3 linked regions of the Mus musculus genome follow. The protein of the gene in region 1 binds, or shares a complex with, the protein of each later gene. Links are inferred from orthologs where the notes say so. Each region holds a gene or a part of one and is shown on either strand. Other genes may lie near its edges. The genes, in order: Chchd3, Apoo and Micos13.

Region 1 (3,648 bases):
CGAACAGAACATATGCTTGAGTATCTTACACTCGAGCAGTTAAGTAAACGTGAAGACAGGCAATATGCAGGTGGTTAAGACAAATCAAAGGCTGAACATACTATCCCATGCCAACCATGTCGCACGTGTGAGCTGCCACTGGCTTACAGGATCAAGGTTTCACAGTTTCTGTGAAACCGCTCATGCCTCATCATGTGTATGTAAGGAATCATTAATTCTTAAACTAAGTAAACAAGGCAGTACTCCCACATTCGGGTAAAGGCTTTAGTCATTGAGAGAAGAGTGTTCCAGGTATCAGGTGCAAAGGATCAAGAGAGGGGACAGAAAAAATGCTCACCAGAAATGCCCCCAGTGCCTTCCTAAAACATGAGCACCTTTAACCCTGTCCTCTCCTGTCTTTAGCCTCCAGGTTGTGAGACTTTACTGTGATTGCAACGACCACTCAGACAACTGGCCTGACACTTTACTTCAAGACATGCTGCAGGTCAGACGGCAGGCAGAATCAAAAGTGAGCTGCCCATTCCTTTGTTTCTCCTTTAAACTAACTGGCTTCCCTTCTGACCCTCCTTCCCTGAGCGCCACTCAATAGAATGCTCAATGTGCTGACCACAGTCCGCCCACTGGCATTTCCCTCCTGGTCTATCACGTCCACTCTAGCAACACCTTCCTCCCCATGTAGCCTGGGACCTCAGACTGGTCACTAAGAAAAAGCTTTATAAACTGACTTCACCTTTCATTCCTTTTTGTCACCTGGTCATAGGTTCCCTTTTCAAATAAGGGAATAAAAGGTTTAAAAGGGAACAAGAAGAAAAGAGAAAAAAGAAAAGGAAGAAAGGAAAAAGCTGTTAGCAATTTATTATCTAGTTCCCAAAGAACTAGGAGAGGATTCTAAGCCTCTCAGCACACACTCTGCTAATTCCATCAGACCCACTGCATACATGGGCTAACCTATCACACTGCACCCATCAGCATGGGTAAGTATTAAAAGAACAAACTTTCAATCGTCCTAATATTAATGTGTGTGGAAACTGAAGCTGAGACAGACAGAGACAGACAGACAGAGAGCCACTAGAGTAGAGAAGAGAAGTGGAGCTTTTCCCCATCTAGGCTTAGCAGTTCTCGGTTACTTACTGGGTAGGAAGTTTTGAAATTCAAAACCCTCCATTTAAGGCCTTGTGTTCCATCTTACTGGTGTCCTAGTGTGTTCTAGCAAGGACTAAAGGCCCTGAACAGTTTCACCTGCATTTCTAGGAAGAAAATTAGAGACTGAGCAGTCCGCTAGAGTCTTGAACCACAAGAGATGCCGTTTTAGCTGCCAATGGAAACTGCTTAATAAATGGTAAGGATACAGAGGATACTAATCATCATGAGAAACTACATTTCAGAAAAAGTGTTCTGTAATCTACCAATATATTTGCATACATACATCATTTATTCAAATTCAAAGTTACATATAAGAAACTCTAACACACTCCAGTGTAAACCATGATCATGTCAAGAAAAAAATGTATGGGTGGGTGAGTTTTAAATTTTTGTTAATTATCTTTTAAAGTGTTTATGTAATCTTTAAAATTAAAAAAAATATTTTTACTGAGAAAACTTATTGTTGTCCTTTACAAGGCTTCTCCAAGCCTTGTTCCTTCTTTGTCAGGTCTGGAGAGCAGCTGATGAAAGCTTAGCTCACCTCTCTGCGGCTTTCCCAGGAAAGCATCTGGAAGGGGCCAGCAGGAAGAGAAAGAGGGCCAGGCCTGTGCCCAGGGTAGCAGAGACAACACAACAAACAAGCAGCAGCTCCCAGGTGCCACATGTGCCTCCAGCACTTCAACACTTGTAAAGTAACCGACCTTAAACATCCTGGATGGCCAACCTTCATCAGCTACTTAGATAAAACTCAAGAAAACCTGGCCAAGGGACCATCACTGTTCTCAACACGAAAAGCTGGAACAGACAGCAGCTTCCCAGCCTCAGGGACGCCCAGGATGACGAGGGGTCTTTAGTAACCAGAACCAGCCTCACCAGATGCTTCGCCTTCATGCGCTCCTCTTCACTGGATATTCTTTCCCGAAGGACAGCTCTGGTCAGCTGCTCATTGGCTGCAGCCCTTTCTCTTTCTAGGTCCCTTGCTTGCTTAAGGCTGAAAAGACAAAAAAGGTAACAATACTTTCTTTTAAATTACTTTAACAACAAATTATTTTTAGGTTATTTAATAACCTGGATAGAAAAAAAAAATACTTTGCTGGTTGGTATCACTTTATGTTAAATAGAAAAACCTGAATAAAAAAGCAGAAACGATAAATTCAAAATCTGAAATCATATTGGCTTATAATCTATCAAAACTTTATACTATAGTAATCCCCTGCAGCCTCCATCCACACATTTAAAACGTTGGAATTCTAAGAGAAGAAGGTATTGATCCAGCTGACAAAGTGTCCAAATTTAACAAAGTTCTCAGGTAAAACTGAAAACTTCTCACCTAAAAAAATCCCATCGCTAGGGCATCTCAGTAAGTAAAGAGCTTTCCTCACAAGCATGAGGCCCTGAGTCTGTGTCCAGTACCCACACAAAAAAACATAGTGTAGTATTTGTAACACTGTACTTCACAAACAAGACAGGATGATCCCTGGCCTGCTAGCTGGCTGGTTGGCCAAACCCACTAGCAAGTCCTAGGTTCCAGGCACAGTCTCAAAAACCAAGGTAGAAAGCCCTCCTGAAAGCTACTGCTAAGCTAGATCACTGGCCTCTCCAAACACACACACACACACACACATACACACACACACACATGCACAAAGTTCATCAAGCCACCTTTGTGAGGAACATATGAAGGCATCATCTTCCTCCAAAAGTGAGTCATTTATTCACTGACATGAGTCAGACATAGAGGACACAGTAGAGGACAAGGTGTCGGGATCCAGGTTCCTTAATCCTATATGAAAGCAGAAGCTAGCCAGAAACACAAAGAAGTCTCTCCACCCAGTGTATTGTTCCATCCTCCAACATATGCAAAATCAGCCTGTTATAGCAGGCTCCAGGCTGCTGAATGACTGCTCCCACCTACCTTAGCTCTGATGGATGCCTTACATACCAGACGTGTTCTAGAGAAACAAGAAGACAACAGTGGCAGTGCCAGGATCTGCACACTACTAATTCTATTAGTGAAGCCTACAATTGCATTAAGGTGATCCATTGCCTCGTCACACAATTAGCTCCATATTAAGTTACAATCTACTAAAACACCTCATTGTATATGATAATGATAAATGACTCTGGCACTGGATTGTGCCATAATGCCTTGCACAGAACGGCACTCAGAAGCACTGAATGAAAGATCATTTCAGTCTAATCTCGTGGACAAAGATTTTCTGATTGCCTTTTCTCTTTTGAAAGAATAACACTTCTATACCCCCAAAGATGTAGCTCTGCTTTAAAAGGAGGTAAAATTGTTATGCTGGTGTCATTCTGAGTAAAATGTTCTGAGTGTGAATGATGAGTGCTAAATTTTACTTGGTGCTGGCCTATCAAGGGGACCCTTGAAAAGAAGTAGAACATAAAATTTGTGATGCTATTTTAAAGCATCACACCATCCTGATACCCTGGCATTCTTAGAAATAAGTTATAACTGACAAAATTATCTTATAATATATATTC
Region 2 (3,648 bases), on another chromosome or scaffold:
ACATACCTGGCAACAGTGGAACATTTACAGTTTGTCAGGTGTGAAAGACTTTGAACAGAACTTTACTCTTTCTGTACCATAGAGCAATATTTGAACAAGTAAATGTGCTTATTAAGTAGAACTAATTTCTTTTTCTTACCAAGAATATAAATTTCTATGTATGTTTAAAGTCAAATGTAACTGGATAAAGACACACATGAATCATTATGTTAAGAAGTCCACATTCAGGAACCAACTTATTAAAAAGCTATTAAATATGGATAAAGAGCCACACATATATCCCATCTCTCCCATATAAACTGACTCTGGGGGGAACCCTAAAAAATTGCACCTACCTCTAGCAAAAAGGAGTCCAACAAAACCAGCAAAACCAATAACACCGAGTCTTGGGAAAAATCCAGGAGGCGCATTTTGAAGATAGTTATAGTTGTCTACGATGGAATAAGATTGGGAAATAACTCCATAAACTGTTCATTAAAACCAAAAGCAAAAGTCTCATACATAACTAGAACATGCACTACCAAATGTTCCCCGACCATGCATCCTTTGCTTCCTGTTAGTACGTATTTGTTTTGTTTTGTTTTAAGTCTACTTTCATTTAGTATAAAGCAAACCCATGATCATCCTGCCTCACTTCCCATGTGCTGGGATTACGGGTGTGCATCACCAAACCTAGCTCACACTTTTTAAAGACAACCTTGCTGTGTGGCCCAGGCTGAATTTAAACTTTCTTTGTATCCCAGACAGACCTGGAACTCACAATCCTGCTTTACCGTGAGTGATGAGATACACACCACCATCAACTGTGACAGTATGATTCTTTGCAATACATTCTTTCAGGAACCAAACACATTCAAATCAGAAAACCAAGTGTCTTTGCCATCTGAACTCATTATTTGAACTAAAGAACAATATGTTTGGATAATGAAGGAAAACTGCAGCATAAATTTGTGCTGGCTAGGGTTTTGTCAACTTGACACAAGCAGGGTCGTCTGGGAAGAGGAACATCAACTGAGTAATTGCCTCCATCAGACTTGCTTGTAGGCAGGTCTTGAGAGCATTTTCTTGATTAATGCTGATTATGTGGGAGGGCTCATGCCATTTGGGGGTAGAGCCACCTGTGGGAGTGTGGTCCTGAGTGCTAGACCTAGAATGAGAGACCTAGGAACACTCAGTCCTAACTGGGATGCCCATATCAAATCCCCCATCTCAGGGCTCAGGGAACCCCATCAAAGGGAGGCAGAAAGAACATAAGAGCCAGAGGAGACAGAGAACTCCAAGAAAGCAAGACCCTCTAAATCAACATCAACTAAGTTCATATGAACTCTCAGAGACTGAGGCAGCAAGCACAGGGCCTACAAGGGGCTGCACCAGGTCCTCTGCATAGATATTATGGCTTCCAATTCGTGGTTTTAAAGATATTTCTGAGGGCAAAAACAAGTAGGTCTCTGATTCTTGTGCCTTCACTTGGGCTTTTCCTTCTGTTGGCTTCTCTTGTCAATTTCCAATGTGTTAGTTTTTGTTTTATCTTAATATTAATTATTTAATATTAATTATTTAATATTATCCTGTTTGTTTTCTAATGACAAGCATAAAGGGATGAGAAGGGATCTGGATGAGAAGGGAGGTGGGGAGGAACTGGGAGAAATAGAGGGAGGGAAAACTGTAATCAGGGTATATTATGTGAAAAAAAATCTATCTTCAACAAAGGAAAAAAATAAAATAAAATTGCATTAGTGTTAGAAAAAGAAAAAGAAAGGAACTCAGGCTGAGCAAGCTACGGGGAGCAAGTGAGAAAGGAGCACTCCTCCATGGCCTCTGCTTCAGTTGCTACCCTAACTTCCCTCCAGGGTAGCTTGTAAACTGTTAAGCTGGGATGAACCCTTTCCTCCCCAAGTTGCTTTGGTCATGGCGTTTTATCACAACTATAAAAAGCAAAGTAGAACAAGATTGATGCTAGAAGTAAATAGCCACTCTTGCTGGTCATAGAATTTAATAATTTAAAAATAAATACAACAGTGAGCCTACTCAGGAAGTAAATAATACAACACATGACCTTATTTGCCATGCCTACGCATGTCTTAAGACTTGGATTTGCATGCTCTCTCCTTTCCTCTCCTGTCTATGGAAGCAGTCTCACAGCAGACTGGAGCCTCCTCAGGCACTGAGTGCCTCCTCAGGAACGCTCATCCTAAGTCATCCGCATAGACACTGCCTCCTTCTCTAAGGTGCCATCAGAAGTCAGTCTCGGTACCACCCCTGCTATCTCACCCTAAGCATTTGATCCTTCATGCCTGTGTTTTCTGTCCCCCACACACAATATATGTTCTCTCACGGTTGATTGCTTAGACTTATATGTTACCTTCTCTTGGTGATAACAGTAGATACTTATCCAACAGATCTTTGTTAAGACCACCACCAGGTACAATGACACATACCTATGAAGTTGTCACGGTGAAACCCATTACTTTGCATGCTAACCTTAAAAATTAATAATTAAAAAAGAATACTGCCAAGAGTTGTTTAATACCAGATGAAGTAATAAATGACTTGAAGCTAGGTCATGACTTCATTCTCTCTCAACTTAGCCTTAGCCTTCCCTATGTTTAAAATGCTTCCTGGAAAAGCCTGAGTCCTGTCTCTAAACACTGATCACATTGAGCCAGCTATGTGTTGGTTATACAGCTTTTCCAGGAAGACCAGCTGAATTCCTTCCTGCATCTAGATTTTATGCACTTTTTTTAAAAAGTTGTTATTGTTGTTGTTGTTGTTTTAGACTACACAGAGATCTCTCTATGTAGTTCTGGCTGCCCTGGATCTCACTGTGTAGAAAATGGGCCCTTGAACTAGCAGAGATCCATTATTGTCATCTCCCTCCTCGTTGATAGAAGTAAAGGCATGTGCCACCATACCTGGCCTGTGCAATATCCATTAACGCCAGCTCACAAATTAGTATGACTCACAAAATCCAGTGAGGAGTAAGCAAGCTCTAGTGCACTGTAATTTTGTTGTTGTTGTTGTTTGGATTTTAGCACTGGACCTCACAGATGCAAAGGAAACAGTCTGCTACTGGGAGTTATTTGACATGTTTGACTTTTTCTTCCTGAGTTACACAGAGTCACTACAAAGACTTAAGAAGATGCGTCCCATTCTGCTACTGGGAACTTACATCCCCAGCCCTGGAGTTGGTTTTTTTTGGTTTTGTTTTTTTTTTAATTCTAAGGTACAAGTACTTGTTAGCCCAACAATGCTAATAATATTGAAGAGATTCATGAAATAAGACTCTTCTGAAACCTATTTCAAACACAGATCATCTTCCAGAAAACATCTAGATAGCTCTAGATTTGTCCATATGATGTCAAAGACTCTGATTTCCAGAGCCAATTTCCTAAAAACTTAGTACAATAGTTCAATAGGATGAAATAACCGATTATGCCTAATTAAAACTCAACTTACCTACTCCCCACTGGACAAAGTGATCCACCTTGGGTTTAGTATGGGAGTATATTTCCTACAAAGATAAAAAGAAATAGAATGAGTAGGGCTTACTGAATAAATTATCATTATTAACATCTTTTGGTGCTGGGGATGGATCTAGAGCAACAAACACTACCATTAAGCTATACCTCTAGCTATTAAAGTTTTTAA
Region 3 (4,265 bases), on another chromosome or scaffold:
GTCTAAGCGCTACTGGCAATGCCACATGCTACCTTGCCATGTTCTAGGCTCCTCTCACCCATTCTTAGTCATGAGGGTTGGTTTATTTTAGTTCTGGGTGAAAAGGAGAAAATGTCACCATAGACACTGGACATGTCTGTAAAAGCAGGAATGAGGAGGCCCAGGCAGGAGAATTCAGCTTTGGTCCATATGAGTTCCAGACCAATCACGTACAAAGAATAAGACCCCGTCTAAAAAAGAAAAAAACCCACAAAGCTGGGTGATGGTGGAACACACTTTAATACCAACACTTAAGAGGCAGATGCAGGCAGAGCTGTGAGTTCGAGGCCAGCCTGGGCCACAAAGTGAGTTCCAGGACAGCCAGGACTGTTAGACAAACCTTGCCTCAAAACAAGCAAGCAAACAATAACCAACCAAAGGCAAACCAAACCAAACCCAACACAAAAATAAGTAATAAAGAAATAAAGTTGTGTGTGGGGGGGGTCTTGTGTATGGTTGAATCGGAATGACCCCTACAGTTTCATGTATTTGAATGCTTGGTCCCCATTTGGTAGAACTGTTTGGCAAGGATTAGGAGATAAGTTTTCTTGGGGCAGGGGTGACAGTGGTGTGGACTTTAAGGTTTCAAAAGCCCACACAATACCCTGTAGTCTCTTTCAGCTTATGAGCCACAATGTAAGCTCTCAGCTGCTGCTCCAGCGCCATCCCGGTTTGCCTGCTGTCATGCTCCGCGTTACGATGGTCATGGTCCTCTGAAACTGGAAGCAGAAAACTTTTCCTTCTATTGAGTTGCCTTGGCCATGGTGCTTTGTCAGGACAACTGAGAAGTAATTAGGACAATAGGTCTCCATAGACAATTACAAGGCATCCATGCATCCATGGTGCACATCTGCTCAAGCTCACCTTGCAACCGAACAGGGATCTACATGATGTCCACTTGGCCGCTAACCCCTCCTGCGGCACTTCGCACCCCAGTGTGGCTCCTTGTACTCCGGACCACCCACCGCCAACCCGTTCTCACATGACCCCAAGACTTCTACCCGGCAGGGATCCTCCAGCGCCTTGGCCTTGGCAAGTCAACAACCTTGGCAAGCGTCCATCTCACAGGCCATCTGTAGCCTCTCCAAGCTTCCTAGGTTAGAGCCACACCCCTAACCGCTCACGTGAACCAAAGGCCTGCTTCTCTGGAACAATCCAGCCCTCGCGTTGCCGTGGTAACCATCACTTAGGCTTGCTTCACCTGGGGGACACTCAATTCTCCGCGCGGGCGCGGGGAATCCGACCAGTGTCTTCCGAGGGCTCGTCTCTGTCGTGCCTCCAGACTACATTTCCCAGGAGCCTTCGCGGCCTAGCCCTTCTTTGGTCTTCCGCCTAACTAATACATTTCCCAGAAAGAATTGCGGCAGCCACGGACCTCGACCTACAAGAGTCTAACTCCATTGCGGCTGACAGCGACCACTACATTTCCCAGGAGTCTCAGCAGCGACACCAACCGGAAGCGGCGGGCGAATTACTTGTCCTTGCGCGGCGAGTGAAGCGAGAGACTAACCATGGTGGCTCGAGTGTGGTCGCTAATGAGGTGCGTGGACAATCGTGGAGGCCCTGAGAAAGTTCGGGGCTGTAGGCATCTCTGCCTCGTGGCTTAGGGTCCTGCGACGGCTCACTTCCGGTTGTTACGGACCTTTCTCACGGTCTGTGTAGGGAAACTGGCTTCAGCCAGCCCTTATCACCCTACTGCTTCAATTTACTCTTAGGTGCAATTCAGATGCGTAGGCAATCCTGCCCATCTCCCTCCGTAGCTGACTTGAGTAACTTGCGGGGAAGCTCCGCCAGACACCCTGGAAGGTTTTGTACCAGGGATCTTGAGTGTCCATTATCCTTTGCAGGGTTTCGAATGACCCACCCTGTCTCTCTTTAAGACTCCGTTTACTGCTAAAAGTCGTGTCACAAAGGCAAATGAAATGATCAACTGGCCGGGAGTGGTGGCACACGCCTTTAATCCCAGCACTTAGGAGGCAGAGGCAGTCGGATTTCTGAGTTCGAGGCCAGCCAGGTCTACAGAGTGAGTTCCAGGACAGCCAGGGCTACACAGAAACCCTGTCTCGAAAAACAAAACAACAACAACAAAAAATGATCAACTGTCTGATCTCTGAGATCCTGCCCCCCACAGCGTCTCCCTTCATGTATTCCTGAAGGTTCCTCATTAAGGGAAGTGTGGCTGGAGGAGCAGTCTACCTTGTTTATGACCAGGAGCTGCTGGGGCCTAGTGACAAGAGTGAGGCTGCCCTGCGGAAGGCCGAGGAGGTTGTGCCACCAGCAATGTACCAGTTCAGCCAATATGTGTGCCAGCAGACAGGTCTGGAGATGCCACAGGTACCTTGGCTGGGAGTGGGTGGCCTACAGGTTGCTTCTGGGTGTCCTTGGGGCCTCCTCCACCCCTGCTTGGTGGAGTTTTGTGTTTCTGGGTTTGGGAGACAAGGCTGTGACCTGTTTCCCGTGTCAGCCCGTGTTCCTCTTTCTTCCCAGCTCCCAACCCCTCCAAAGATTAAATTTCCAAACTTCCGTGATTCCTGGAACTCAGGTAGGCCCCTATGCCCCTGCTTGGGGGGATGCCTGGGCACCCCAGCCTCTCTCCCAGCCCTGTTTACCTCATTGACCCTTTCTACTCCTCCATGTTTTCCTGTTTGTGTGCCTGTATATCACCTATGGAACTAAGTAGAAAGGACTGGGTATGGTGGCCCATGATTGTGACTTTAGTATTTGGGAGGCCGAGGCAGGAAAATTGTAGTTTCAAGGCCAGCTTGATCTATAGCCAGGACTACACAGGGACATCCTTTCTCAAAAATAGGAAAAACAAAATACTTAAAAAAACCCTAAGGGGTTGGGGTTGTAGATCAGTGGTAAAGATCTTTCCTAGCATGCATAAAGCTCTGGGTCCTGTCGTCAGCACCCCATAAATCAGGCATGGTGTTTGTAGGTCTGTCATCTCAGCACTCAGTGCAGGCAAGAGAATGAAGGATTTCAGGGTCATCTTTGACTACATAGGGAATTCCAGGCCATATGGGATATATGAGACCTTGTCTCCACAAAGAAAAGCTGGATATTGTTATACACACCTATAATCTCAGCACTGGGAAGAGCTGAGGCAGAAGGACTGAGAGTTTGAGGATAACCTTGGAATATATTAGTGAGATGAAACCTTTTAAAACAGAGCATAGGGAAGGGGTTGTGGTTTAGATCCACACTGGAACTTGTCCATCAGGAAAGGCTAGTCCCATTCCTCCTCCATGTACTGCTCTTGCACTCCCCAGGGGTTGGCTGGCTGAGTGGCTCTGGCAAGGTGGGGACCTTATGGCACCTGTGTGCTGTCTCTGCAGGCATCATCTCAGTCATGTCAGCCTTGTCGGTGGCCCCCTCCAAGGCCCGAGAATACTCCAAGGAGGGCTGGGAGTACCTCAAGGAACACAGCAAGTAATGGATGCCACCTGCCCCAGCATTATGGGGGTCAAGACCAGGATGGCAGAGACATCCCAGTGGGGACCTCACTCTGAGGGCAGCTTCCAGCATTGCTGGCCCAATAAAGGACTTGGGAATGGTCCCCAGCCGGTTTTCTGGTGGGGGGGGGATGTAGAGCCTTTGCTTTATGGGCAGAGTCCTGGCTAACAGGGATCTCTATGTTCCAGATGTAATGTTTGGAGCCCAGAAAGATTTTAGTTTTAGTTTTTTGTTTTAACTTTTAAAAATTTTGTGTGATAAAAACCATGACCAGAAGTAGCTTGGATAGGAAAGGGTTTATTTCAGCTTGTTACTCTCAGGTCATTCTCCATCACTAAGGGAAGTTAGGGCAGGAATCTGGAGGCAGGACTGAAGTAGAGGCCATGGAAAATTAGTTTATAGGCTTGTTCTCCATGGTTTGCTCAGCCTGCTTTCTAATAACACCCAGGACCACCTACCCATAGTCATCAATCAAGAAAGTGTCCCACAGTCCAATCTGACGGAGGCATTTTCTTAACTTAGTGCTTGTGTGGGTGTGCTTGTATATACACACTGGCACTGTCTGTTGTGAGCTCTCCATCATGGGTGCTAGGATCTGAACTAGCCATGGAACCATTCTTCCAGCCTGTACAATGGAGTAGGTACTGTGGTGCGGGGAGCCTGGACTTGGGGCCCTTAATAGGGGCTTCACTTGCAGTGGACCAGTTCTTTTTGACAGCCCCATTGCCCAAACTAGTCACAGCCACTCAGGACTCCCAGCCTTGCCCCCT

Evidence for each region.
Region 2: Chchd3 (region 1) and Apoo share a complex: the UniProt entries of both Homo sapiens proteins name them as parts of the mitochondrial contact site and cristae organizing system (MICOS) complex. The link is inferred for Mus musculus from reciprocal best matches to the Homo sapiens genes CHCHD3 and APOO.
Region 3: Chchd3 (region 1) and Micos13 share a complex: the UniProt entries of both Homo sapiens proteins name them as parts of the mitochondrial contact site and cristae organizing system (MICOS) complex. The link is inferred for Mus musculus from reciprocal best matches to the Homo sapiens genes CHCHD3 and MICOS13.

What each region holds. Positions count from the first base shown.
Region 1 is NC_000072.6:32,966,185-32,969,832, forward strand, and holds part of Chchd3 (MICOS complex subunit Mic19), read right to left. Parts: intron 2,135-3,648; coding exon 2,017-2,134; intron 1-2,016. UniProt on the Homo sapiens protein: Component of the MICOS complex, a large protein complex of the mitochondrial inner membrane that plays crucial roles in the maintenance of crista junctions, inner membrane architecture, and formation of contact sites to the outer membrane.
Region 2 is NC_000086.7:94,387,528-94,391,175, reverse strand, and holds part of Apoo (MICOS complex subunit Mic26 isoform 1 precursor), read right to left. Parts: intron 3,512-3,648; coding exon 3,457-3,511; intron 432-3,456; coding exon 336-431; intron 1-335. UniProt on the Homo sapiens protein: Component of the MICOS complex, a large protein complex of the mitochondrial inner membrane that plays crucial roles in the maintenance of crista junctions, inner membrane architecture, and formation of contact sites to the outer membrane.
Region 3 is NC_000083.6:56,606,954-56,611,218, reverse strand, and holds Micos13 (MICOS complex subunit MIC13 precursor), read left to right. Parts: upstream 1-1,447; 5' UTR 1,448-1,550; coding exon 1,551-1,579; intron 1,580-2,195; coding exon 2,196-2,373; intron 2,374-2,526; coding exon 2,527-2,581; intron 2,582-3,377; coding exon 3,378-3,475; 3' UTR 3,476-3,767; downstream 3,768-4,265. UniProt on the Homo sapiens protein: Component of the MICOS complex, a large protein complex of the mitochondrial inner membrane that plays crucial roles in the maintenance of crista junctions, inner membrane architecture, and formation of contact sites to the outer membrane.